Macaca fascicularis: one gene and its partners. The protein of the gene in region 1 interacts with the protein of each later gene in a pairwise test. Links are inferred from orthologs where the notes say so. Each region holds a gene or a part of one and is shown in the gene's direction. Other genes may lie near its edges.

Region 1 (3,649 bases):
AAATTATTTAATATTCAGAAAGGAAAAGGGTTTTTTTTTTTTGACTAAAATATTCAACTCAGTTTACTTAAGCAAACTGGTTACTAGCTGTAAAATAGTGTACAATTAAACTTGGTAAGAAATACTAGAAAAAAATGCCGGGCGCAGTGGCTCACGCCTGTAATCCCAGCACTTTGGGAGGCCGAGGCGGGCGGATCACAAGGTCAGGAGATCGAGACCACGGTGAAACCCCGTCTCTACTAAAAATACAAAAAATTAGCCGGGCGCGGTTGTGGGCGCCTGTAGTCCCAGCTACTCGGGAGGCTGAGGCAGGAGAATGGCGTGAATCCGGGAGGCGGAGCTTGCAGTGAGCCGAGATCGCGCCACTGCACTCCAGCCTGGGCGACAGAGCGAGACTCCGTCTCAAAAAAAAAAAAAAAAAAAGAAATACTAGAAAAAAATTAGAAATACCAAGCAGGATTTTAGAGATCTTAACAAAACATAACAGGACATATATTTTGTATTTCTTTACCAAGACTGGCATAATTTTGTATTTATTAAATAAAGCCTCTGTGGAATTGATTTTTAATATGTGTTTTTATCAGGACTCTCAAATTGCAGACATACTATCAACATCTGGGACTGTAGTTACTATTACAATCATGCCTGCTTTTATCTTTGAACATATTATTAAGCGGTAAGTAAACAATTCCTCAACTTAATGCATATGGTCGTGTGACTTAATGTAAGCACTATAGTTTAATTCTCAGCCCTTTGGGTCTTTTACCTAAGGAATGAATACTGGTGTTTATCTAGAAATTTGAAGTAAGTTATTTAAGTCAGCGGGGTTGGTAAGGATGAGCTCTTACAACTTCCCAAGTATGGAATAAAATCCACATATACTTTCCTCAGTTTTGATATTGCCTAGTAGAAGAATGCAAGGAAAAGTGGGCATGCTTTTAGCTTTCAATTTGCAGTACAATTGACTGCAGTTGTACTGCCTGCCACTCCTCTGCTCAGTATAAATATAGTTGTAGTGGTTCGTAATGGAGAATTCTTGCTGGTGGAATGCTAGGAGTAAGTTTCCCTTCTCTCCAGAATCTCAGGAAGCAGATAGACATGTGTGGTGTGTTGGTGCTATCTGTGCTCAGGAACTGAGGATTAGAAAGCCAAGTGATCAGAAATGAAAAGAGGCAACAAGGTTACTTCTATACAGCTTTTCGTATCCTAGCATCTACCATAGCTGTTTTTGTCAAGCCAGCTTGGAATCCTTCTTTCAGAACCTCTATCATGCATGTGAAAATGAGATTTAAAAGATTCATAAACATAACCATTGTAATGAAATTTGTATGTTGGCTTCTGGATAGAATGCACCTCCCTACGCTTCGAGGGGGTAAAAAGGAGTTATTGTCATGACTAATTGTTCTAAGGTTCTCTTTTTTTAAATCACTGATGGATCCCTCTACCCCAACTCATCACAGCCGTGTCATTTTCTGTTTTTTAAAATTCACCAGGTTTGGCCGGGCGTGGTGGCTCAAGCCTGTAATCCCAGCACTTTGGGAGGCCGAGACGGGTGGATCACGAGGGTCAGGAGATCGAGACCATCATGGCTAACACAGTGAAACCCCGTCTCTACTAAAAAATACAAAAAACTAGCTGAGCGAGGTGGCGGGCGCCTGTAGTCCCAGCTACTCGGGAGGCTGAGGCAGGAGAATGGCGTGAACCCAGGAGGCGGAGCTTGCAGTGAGCTGAGATCCAGCCACTGCACTCCAGCCTGGGCAAGAGAGCCAGACTCCGCCTCAAAAAAAAAAAAAAAAAAAAAATCACCAGGTTTAATGTACAAGAATTCATTTGTATCCTAACTTCTCTAGCCAAATACAGATAGCCTTTCCCACTGAGGGTCTGTCAACAACTAGATTACCAGAGATGCTTCTGGACTCATTTAAAAGATCTTTCCTTCTCTCCATTCACATTTGATGCTAACAGGTGCTAAATTGGAATTGGGAATTTTCTTGGATTAACATAGCATTTTCGGGGGGGGGGGGACAGAATCTCAGTATATAATAAAAGCACCTCTTTTGTAGGATGGCACCAAGCATCATGAAAAGCCTAATGGACCACACCATTCCTGAGGTTTAAAATTCACGGCACCATGGAAATGCAGCTGAACGTCTCCAGTTTCCTTCTTTGGCAACTTCTGTATTATGCACATGAAGCTTTCCCGGAGCCAGCAAGCATATGCTGCATGAGGACTTTTCTATCTTACATTATGGCTGGGAATCTTACTATTTTCATCTGATACCTTGTTCAGATTTCAAAATAGTTGTAGCCTTATCCTGGTTTTACAGATGTGAAACTTTCAAGAGATTTACTGACTTTCCTAGAACAGTTTCTCTACTGGAAACCTGATGCTTTTATAAGCCATTGTGATTAGGATGACTGATACAGGCTTAGCTTTGTGTGAAAACCAGTCACCTTTCTCCTAGGTAATGAGTAGTGCTGTTCATATTACTTTAGTTCTATAGCATATTTGCATTTTTAACATGCTACCATAGTACATTTAGAATGATTGCCTTTGATTTTTTAAAAAAATTCTGTGTGTGTATAAAATGCCAATTAAGAACACTGGTTTCATTCCATGTAAGCATTAAACAGTGTATGTAGGTTGCAAGAGATTGTGATGATTCTTAAATTTTAACTACCTTCATTTAATATGCTTAAACTGTCGCCTTAACTATGTTAAGCATCTAGACTAAAAGCCAAAATATAATTATTGCTGCCTTTCTAAAACCCAAAATGTAGATCTCTATTAACCTGAAATGTACACTAGCCCAGAACAGTTTAATGGTACTTACTGAGCTATAGCATAGCTGCTTAGTTGTTTTTGAGATTTTTTAGTCAATGCATAATGGAAACTTCTTTCTTCTAAAAGTTGCCAGCACCACTTTGTGAGAAGTGAATCACTATATATTTAATGTAAAAGTTATTACACTAAACAGGATAAACTTTTGACTCCTCTTTTGTTCATTTGTGGATTAAGTGGTATAATACTTAATTTTGGCATTTGACTCTTAAGATTATGTAACCTAGCTACTTTGGGATGGTCTTAGAATATTTTTCTGGTAACTTGTTCCATTTCCTGACTCCTTGCAAACAAAATGATAGTGACATTTTATCCTGAGTTTTTTCTTCTTTTTGGTTTATGGCTATTCTAATTAAATATGTATACATAAAGTTACATTTTAGTCTGTCTGTTACTGCATCATTTGCTTTCACCAAACTTATGCATGATCTAGAAGATAGGCAGGTGAAATTCACTTTCAGCTATGGGAGACATCATTTCCCAGAACAAGCTGACATTCAGGGGCCCTAAGAACAGCTCACAGTGCTGAGACTGAGTGTCAGGAAAATTGCTTCCAGCTGGGAACCCCAGATTACCAGGGCCAAGAGAGCTGGTTCACCCCTGCCATGCAGCAGGAACTCATTGAGGCTACTGACTGTCCCTAGCAATACCTGAGACCAGATAATACTTAATAACACTTGAAACTGACTTTGAAAATTCTATTAGTATGGTCTGACTCAAGTTTTTTCTCCTATATCATACTACTTGTAAGATACAACAGTGTTTTTAAAGAGTACAGAAACAATAAGTCGCACAATTAACCATGGT
Region 2 (3,749 bases), on another chromosome or scaffold:
GTAAAGGGAAAGAGGACAAATAATTATAAGAATTTTGGTTTTTACTCTGGATGAAGTAGAAAGCCACCAGAAAGTTTTCTGCAGAATGTAATGTGATCCGTTGTTTAGAAGGATTCCTTTGGTTATTGGCTTGGTAACAGGTGCTGCTACAAAGGCAGAAAGTGGAAGACCAGTTAGGGTCCCACTACAAAAATGCCAGATGAGATAATAACGGCTTAGGCCATGAGGCAGTGATGGAAATGGTAGAAGTAGCAATTCTAGATCTATTTTGAGAACGGTGCCAGCAGGATTTATTGAGGAGATGAGAGGACACTCGTATTTCCTCGTCTGAGCCTAAACAGGGCATTAGAAGTGTGATCACTATTTCCATCTTACAAAAAATATAGTTAGGAGCATGGTTTCTCAGTTCAACATCTGTTTCTATCACGTGCTTGATAAGTCTGCTTTTCCATCTGCAAAATGGGTTAATAACGTTCCTAACAGGCTGCTACCAAGATCAATGGAAATTTCATATACGAAACACCTTAGTACAAGAGTCAACGAATGTTAGCTGCTATTCAGTTGTTAATAATACTAGTGCAGAGAAATAAAGGGAAAAGCAACTTGCCCAAAGTCCCAAAACGAGCCAACACCAATCATTTCCCTCTTTTCCTCCCTCCCTCATTCATTCATTCTACAAAGTCTTCGGAATTTCTGTTCTACGCTAGATCCATGTTAGAGTCAGGATGCTTAAGCCCGGGTCCGGGTTGTGAGCCCAAGGTTCTCAACGCTAATTCTAACGCTACCTCACAAGGCAGTCGAGAGGCTGAAAACCAGCGCCAAACGGGCGAACAAGTACTGAGCATCCGCAGGCTATGAGGCGCTTTTACAATGTTGGTGTGCTTTAACTCTAGGTAGAAACTCTCGTTCTGCCCCCCGCAATGCGGGAAGGGTCGGTGCCGGGTCACCAGATACAGCGCTCTGAGGGGAGGAAGATGAGCTGAGGGCCAAAGGCCGCCTGCTTCTTCACTTACCGCTTGCAGCAAAGCTCCCGGCGTCGCCTGCTGCTGCCCGGCTCCCGGGCCCGACCCCGCTCCCAGTAGCAACTCATGCCGCTGCCGCTTGACTGGAACCAGCGGCAACTCTGGGCCCTTACGCTTCTGTTGTTCTATCATGGCGGCAACCGGTCTCTTCAGCGCCGCCACTGACCGCGCTGCCCCCCTCAGGCGCCACGCAATTGGTTCCAGCTTAGTCCTTCCTCCACAACTTCCAGCTTGGAAGAACCAATCGGTTTTCAATATACCCATTTGCACTGCCCTCGGATAGTCTCTTGTTATTGGGCATATCTTTCTGACGTCATGAGAGTGCGATTCCAGGATTGGTGGACGGAGCTGGCGACCTCCCTAGGCGCGCTGGGTCTTGTGGGTGGAAACGCGCTGGCTGACTGGGCTCGGCGTTTAGTTCAGCGCCGGGACTCGGGGGCCTGGAGCTGACGCCTAGTACGTATGAGGAAGAGCTGGGTGGGTGGCAGCCTGAGTCTGAAGGCGACGCCTCGGTTGTGCAGTCTGAAGCTGCCCTTCTCAGCTGAGGGTGCCGATAGCAAGGGGTGGGAGGCGGGGCCCCGAGTCCCCAGCTGTGGTAAGTAGTAGCATGGGCTCCCTTTCCGGGCGGGAGCGGAGCCTTGGGGGTCTCTGGCGGCAAGACCCAGTCCCTGCGGCTCCCTTCTTCAAGAGCGCCCGTCGTGGCCAGTCCTGTGCCGGGCATTCCCAGGGAGAAAGGCCTGTGTTCCAACTTCCTCCGGCGCCCCGTTTGGCCGAGGAGGCTGACTTGTTTCTGCCACTGATTTTGCAGTTTTTGATTAGGGCCTAGTCTCTGCCCCCCTGAGAGAGACAATGATGAAGGAAATGTCCGACTCCTTCTCCAGAGCGCAGTCTTGTTGAGAAATTTGAGACTCATGCCCATGAACGTGGTCATTGCGTCAGTCGTCCAGCTGATATTTATTTAGCAGCGCGTTGGGGGTACGTCGTGAACCAGACACGGTCCCTACTCTCAGGGCGTTTAAGTCTGGTGGGGAAAACGTTAAACAATGACCTCACTAATACATGGAAATGCCTCCTAGTGCTGTTTGATGCTGAGTGCCTGAAATAAGCAGGAAGGTTTTTCAGAGGAAAAGATGCCTGCTCTGGTAGCTGCAGGAAGAATTGTAATTAATTAAGTGAAGAGGTAAAGGCAGAACCTTCCGTAGAGAACTACTTGTTCAGAGCCCTGAGGCACTTGGGAGGAAAAATGACTAAAAGCACAAAGAGCCAGTGTGACTGATACAAAGAGAATGAAGGGGAGTATGGTACAAGATGAAGCTGTACGTGATAGCGGTCAGACCTTGCAGGAATTTGTAGCTTTATTTTAAAACGGATGGGATACCACTGAGCCGTCTTCCCCCGGTGGGGTGTGGTGGAGGAGGGGGCTTGATTTCTCAGGCTCAGTGGTGTGAACAGATTGGGGCTGGGGAAGCCCTAGTCGATACATGTGGACCACTTAGGATATACAGTAATCCTGGTCAGAGATGTCAGTGAGGACTGAGAAGTGGGTGGAACTGCAGAGAATTGGACAGATTCTAGAGGTATGTAGGAGGTAAAATGGGCGGAACTTGGTGAAGGGTTGATTTTAGTGAGTGAAGACAGGAATCAAAGGTAACTCATAGGTTTCTGGCTAATGTAGTTGAATAGATAGATGGTGGTACCATTTACTCACTATCACGGAATCCCCCAAGCTGGATAGGGAACACTAGAAGACGACTAGAGACCAGTTTTTTTTGTGTTTTTTTTTTTTTTTTTTTTTTTTTTTGTGGGGGACAGGTTCTTGCTCTGTCGCCCAGGCTGGAGTGCGGTGGCACAATCTCGGCTCACTGCAACCTCCACCTCCCAGGTTCAAGCAATTCTCCTGCCTTAGCCTCCCCAGTAGCTGGGATTACAGTCGCCACCGCTATGCCCGGCCAATTTTTGTATTTTTATTGGAGATGGGGTTCCACCGTATTGGCCAGGCTGGTCTCCAACTCCTGGCCTCAAGTATCCACATGCCTCGGCCTCCCAAAATTCTGGGGTTACAGGCTTGAGCCACTGCTCCCAGCTGAGACCAGTTTTGACTGATTGATTGATTGTGTGGGGTCATTCATGATATCCAGGAGGCAGTTTGAAACACAGCTTTGTGCTCAGAAGAGAGATTTGTGTTGGGAATATAAAATTGGGGATAATTTGTATGTATGTGAATTGAGCCATAGGTGTGGATAAGGTCACCTAAGTCAGAACCTTGACTAGTTCCAACATTTAATGGTGAAGAACAGGTGGATCAACCTACAGGAGATACAGAAGGAAGGAAGGAAGACTGGAGGAATGTTTCAGAAGCAAAAGAATGATTTGTGATAGAAACTTCTAGAATTTAAATAACATGAAGATTGAAAAATATATTTTGGCTTTTATCATTGTGGAGGTCATGGTAACGTTAGCAAGAGTTATTTTGTTGGTGTGATTGGGCAAAAAGCCAGATATGAGGCAAGGATTTGGACAAGAAAATGTAGGTAGTGAACCTACACAGTATGTTTCATAGATATGATTGTAAAGAGGAGGAGAGGATGCGCTAACCGATGGAGATAAGGGATTATCCAGGATCCAATTGAGGATACAATTGTGAGAAATTTGAGAATATTGTAGAAGATTTGAAAGTCATTGTGGAGTGTGGGAGAATGAGGTTACTAGAGAAATAGTAGGATGCAA
Region 3 (3,749 bases), on another chromosome or scaffold:
TGTTGATGCTGTGTTAAGCACAAAATGATTTCTGTCAGATTGTCAGAGTAGATCATGCCCTTCTCTTGTTCTGTATACTCTGCCTTTAGTTTATTCATTTATTTTTTGCATTATTTTACATTTGCGAGCTATCAATTCCCAGATCCATATTTTCCTTTTCTTCATATTTGTCTGACATGTATTTTTTGTATCATTTTGTTTTAGCTCCATTCTTACATACAGCATATACTTAGATTTTTATTTTGATCCAAGTTGGAAGTCATTTCCTTTAGATTCTGAGTTTATCTCATTCATATTTCTTGCTCAACAGATTCACTTGGCCTTAATTTTGTTCCTTTATGTTATGGTCTCTGGAGTATTTTCTTTATTTTCCAACTTTTACTACAGGATTTGTGTTCTTTGTGTGTGCTCTTTTTGGTTATATAGACATTTAAGGCTGTGGATTAGTTTTCCTGATGACTGCCTTTGTAATTTCTTTTCTTTTCTTTTTTTTTGAGGTGGAGTCTCGCTCTGTCGCCAGGGTTTCACCGTGTTAGTCAGGATGGTCTCGATCTCCTGACCTTGTGATCTGCCCGTCTCAGCCTCCCAAAGTGCTGGGATATAATTTCAATAATATAATGAAACTCTATATCTTGATTTACAAACTTTAGGCAATATTTATTTACTCCTAACTCCAAAACAACTCTCCCCCTATTATAGGCGACTGGAGGTGGGAAAAAGCTGAGTTAACGATAAGTATTAAGGCATTAATTTGTGGGTGAAGGTTGTGGCATATGTCTGGATAAGTCTGGAGCATGAGGGTTTGTGGGCAAGTCTGGGGCATGAGGATGAGAAAGAAAAGTAGTGAGGAAACAAAAATGGTTATGGGCAGGGCACGGTGGCTCATGCCTGTAATCCTAGCACTTTGGGAGGCCAAGGCGTGCAGATCAACTGAGGTCAGGAGTTTGACACCAGCCTGGACAACATGGTGAAACCTCGTCTCTACTAAAAAAAAAAAAAAAATTAGCAGGGCTTGGTGTTGGGCTCCTGTAATTCCAGCTCCTTGGGAGGCTGAGGCAGGAGAATCACTTGAACCCGGGAAGCGGAGGTTGCAGTGAGCTGAGATCACCCTGCTGCACTCCAGCCTAGGCGATAGAGTGAGACACAGTCTCAAAAACAAACAAAAACAATAAAAGCACAATCCATTGATTGAAAAGGATGCAGCTGGGCATGTTGGAAGCACACAGGGCATGGGAGGGAGCCTGGGCCCAACCCATAGGATGATGGCCATTCTAGCCAAAGGGGCAGGGGTGGCTGGAAAGAGCCCCAGGGCGAGGTTCTAGGCCCTGTCCACTTGGCCTCCATACCAAGTCCTGTGTCCCTCCCCAGGAGCAGAAGCTGAAAGAATGTGGGAACAGAGGCCCCAAAGGGCCAACCCCACCTCAGTCCACAGCAACCACTTGCTGTCACTTAGGGGAAGGGGGAGGGCGTGCCAGCAGGGGGCGTGGCCCCACACGGCCTGTCACACGCATGTGCACTGAGTCGACCAATCTGCGAGGAGCGTAGGAAGTGCTGTCGGCAGCTCTCACGAGAACTGAGTACTTGTTTTCTTTTTTGTTTTTTGTTTTTTGTTTTTTGAGACAGTCTGGCTCTTGCCGCCCAGGCTGCAGTGCAGCCGCGCGATCTGGGCTCACTGCAACTTCCGCCTCCCGGGGTCAAGCAATCATTCTGCCTCAGCCTCCTGAGAGGACCCGTTTTCTAAGAGATCCTAGTGGTGCTGTTGTCTGCAGGTTCTTTGAGGGCGCCACATCAGGGGTCCCTCAGGTGAAGCGCTCGCGGTGGGGAGGCGGAAACGCAGGCACGAGGCCCTCTGGGAACCAGGGTGTGAAGCGCTGGGCCGCCCGCTGACCTGTGAGGAAATGCCCCTGGCGTGGTCGCCTGGGGCCTGGGTCAGGGCGAGGCCCTGAGGGTGGGCTGGGGTGGGCCAGGGCAGGGAGGGAGCTGGAGCCGCCTGGGTGATCCCTAGGGCCCAGGAGGGCTTGTGCATGTGTTGGGGGGAGGTGCGGAAGGTGGGGGGAAGTGGGGGTGGGGCGAGGGTGTTGTTGGGGACAGTCTGAGTGGGGCCCTCCTGCCCGGCCTCCCGTCAGGACAGGACACTTGGGGTCATCAGGGGTCCCCTGTGCATCCAGGCGGGTGAGTGACAGTGCAGCCCCTGACATTCCTCTGGAGGTGGCTGGGGAGATCCTGTGTCACCCGGTGGCCCTCCCAGCCACACGGGGTCGCTGGGGGACCCAGAGGTAGGGCTGAGTTCTGTCCCAAAGGTGCGGCGAGGATCCCGCAGACGCCGTGGAGTTCAGGTGTGAGGGGCAGCTGTGAGCTCTGCAGCCAGCCCCGGGGACGGGCTGGACGGGCTGGACGGGCCAGGACAGGAGGGGACACTGGCATCTTTTCGGTCCCCTCCTGCTCCCACAGGAGGCCCAGGGCGTGCCAGCCCCACCCTTCTTAAACCTGTGATCCCAATGGCTTTCCTTTCCGATGCCAGGGTTCCTTTGCTTCCTTAGTGTGCCTTTGCCCTCATCAGGTTCAGGGATCACCTGTAGCTTCCCAGGACAGCCAGCCACGGATCCTGTGGGCAGGAGGGCTGCCAAGGCCCAGTTGGAGGCTCAATTTATGGCGGCCCAGGGGAAGGAGCGTGCAGGTAAATACAGCCCAAGGTGACCCGGAAGAAAGTGCACGCCCAAGAGGACGGTCTGTCTGCTTTCTGCGCTGGGGGCACAGGGGTAGCCCAAGGACCCGGGCCCCTTCGTGGCTTTGGAGTCCATCGTGCACGTGCTAAGATGCCCCAGGTTTTCAAAGCAGGCTCAAGGGCCTTAGGCTTCCCGTAAAAGGCTCCCCTCATAGCGGGGTTACAGATGCTCCCAGAGCAGCTCTTCTCCATGAGTGCAGTCATGACATCCAAGGGGTCTGACGTGTAGTACGTTGTTTACTGGGACTTGAACCCGAAGGGCTTCCAAAAGTGCCTTGATAAAATGGTCAGAAGCCGGTGATTCCATGTACAGCTCTGCTTTAAAGCCTTAATTGGCAGATAGCCAAAAAAAAAAAAAAAAAAAAAAAGTCTACAACTAGTACATTTCTCCACAAAAAAAGTCCACAACAGTGTCTTCCTCTAAAAAAGGTTTGTCTTTTAAATTTTAATGCAGGAAAGGATCCAGTCAGTGACGAATGTGAGGAAAGAAACCCTTTTACAGAAACAAGGGAGGAAGATGTAACTGATGAGCATGGGGAAAGAGAACCTTTTGCTGAAAAAGACGAGCACACGGGGTAAAGTGTTTAAGTCACTTTTGCCTGTCGGATAGGGTCTTTTAGGAAAAGTCACCTTTGGACCATGTCATCACTGTTCTATTCTGTGCAGAACATTTCACATAAGACATTTCTTTTCCCAACAAACATGGCATTTTGTGTAGTATTATGCTAAAATTTTGATGTAACTTTTTTTACAGGGCTAATACCAAGAAGCCAGAAGATACTGCAGGTATATTTTAGGAGTTATCTGTCGTTTATGAAAATTGTTTTCAATCATGCAACTGTTGCAGTAAGTTATATGAATCAGTGGATGACAAGACTGTCTTAAATGGCTTATCATATGTAGCATTTAACATACGTATTTAATGTAATCTGTTTGATAAATTTTTCTTACCTCTTTGATTGTTGATGTGGAATGTGAGAATGCTTCTAATAATGGTGAAGCGAGATGGATGGCTTTTCTTTCA

The links.
Region 2: the proteins of SDCBP (region 1) and ZCCHC17 interact in binary tests that used the Homo sapiens proteins (3 or more experiments, as listed by UniProt). The two-hybrid records come from large-scale screens. The link is inferred for Macaca fascicularis from reciprocal best matches to the Homo sapiens genes SDCBP and ZCCHC17.
Region 3: the proteins of SDCBP (region 1) and FAM9B interact in binary tests that used the Homo sapiens proteins (3 or more experiments, as listed by UniProt). The two-hybrid records come from large-scale screens. The link is inferred for Macaca fascicularis from reciprocal best matches to the Homo sapiens genes SDCBP and FAM9B.

The regions. Positions count from the first base shown.
Region 1 is NC_088382.1:68,560,238-68,563,886, forward strand, and holds the end of SDCBP (syntenin-1), read left to right. Parts: intron 1-584; coding exon 585-676; intron 677-2,063; coding exon 2,064-2,118; 3' UTR 2,119-3,217; downstream 3,218-3,649. UniProt on the Homo sapiens protein: Multifunctional adapter protein involved in diverse array of functions including trafficking of transmembrane proteins, neuro and immunomodulation, exosome biogenesis, and tumorigenesis.
Region 2 is NC_088375.1:203,712,119-203,715,867, reverse strand, and holds the start of ZCCHC17 (zinc finger CCHC domain-containing protein 17), read left to right. Parts: upstream 1-1,400; 5' UTR 1,401-1,617; intron 1,618-3,749. Other genes in the region: SNRNP40 (U5 small nuclear ribonucleoprotein 40 kDa protein), read right to left, coding at 1,014-1,154.
Region 3 is NC_088395.1:8,686,226-8,689,974, reverse strand, and holds the start of FAM9B (protein FAM9B), read left to right. Parts: upstream 1-1,518; 5' UTR 1,519-1,803; intron 1,804-2,560; 5' UTR 2,561-2,649; coding exon 2,650-2,677; intron 2,678-3,179; coding exon 3,180-3,300; intron 3,301-3,479; coding exon 3,480-3,511; intron 3,512-3,749. UniProt on the Homo sapiens protein: May play a role in meiosis.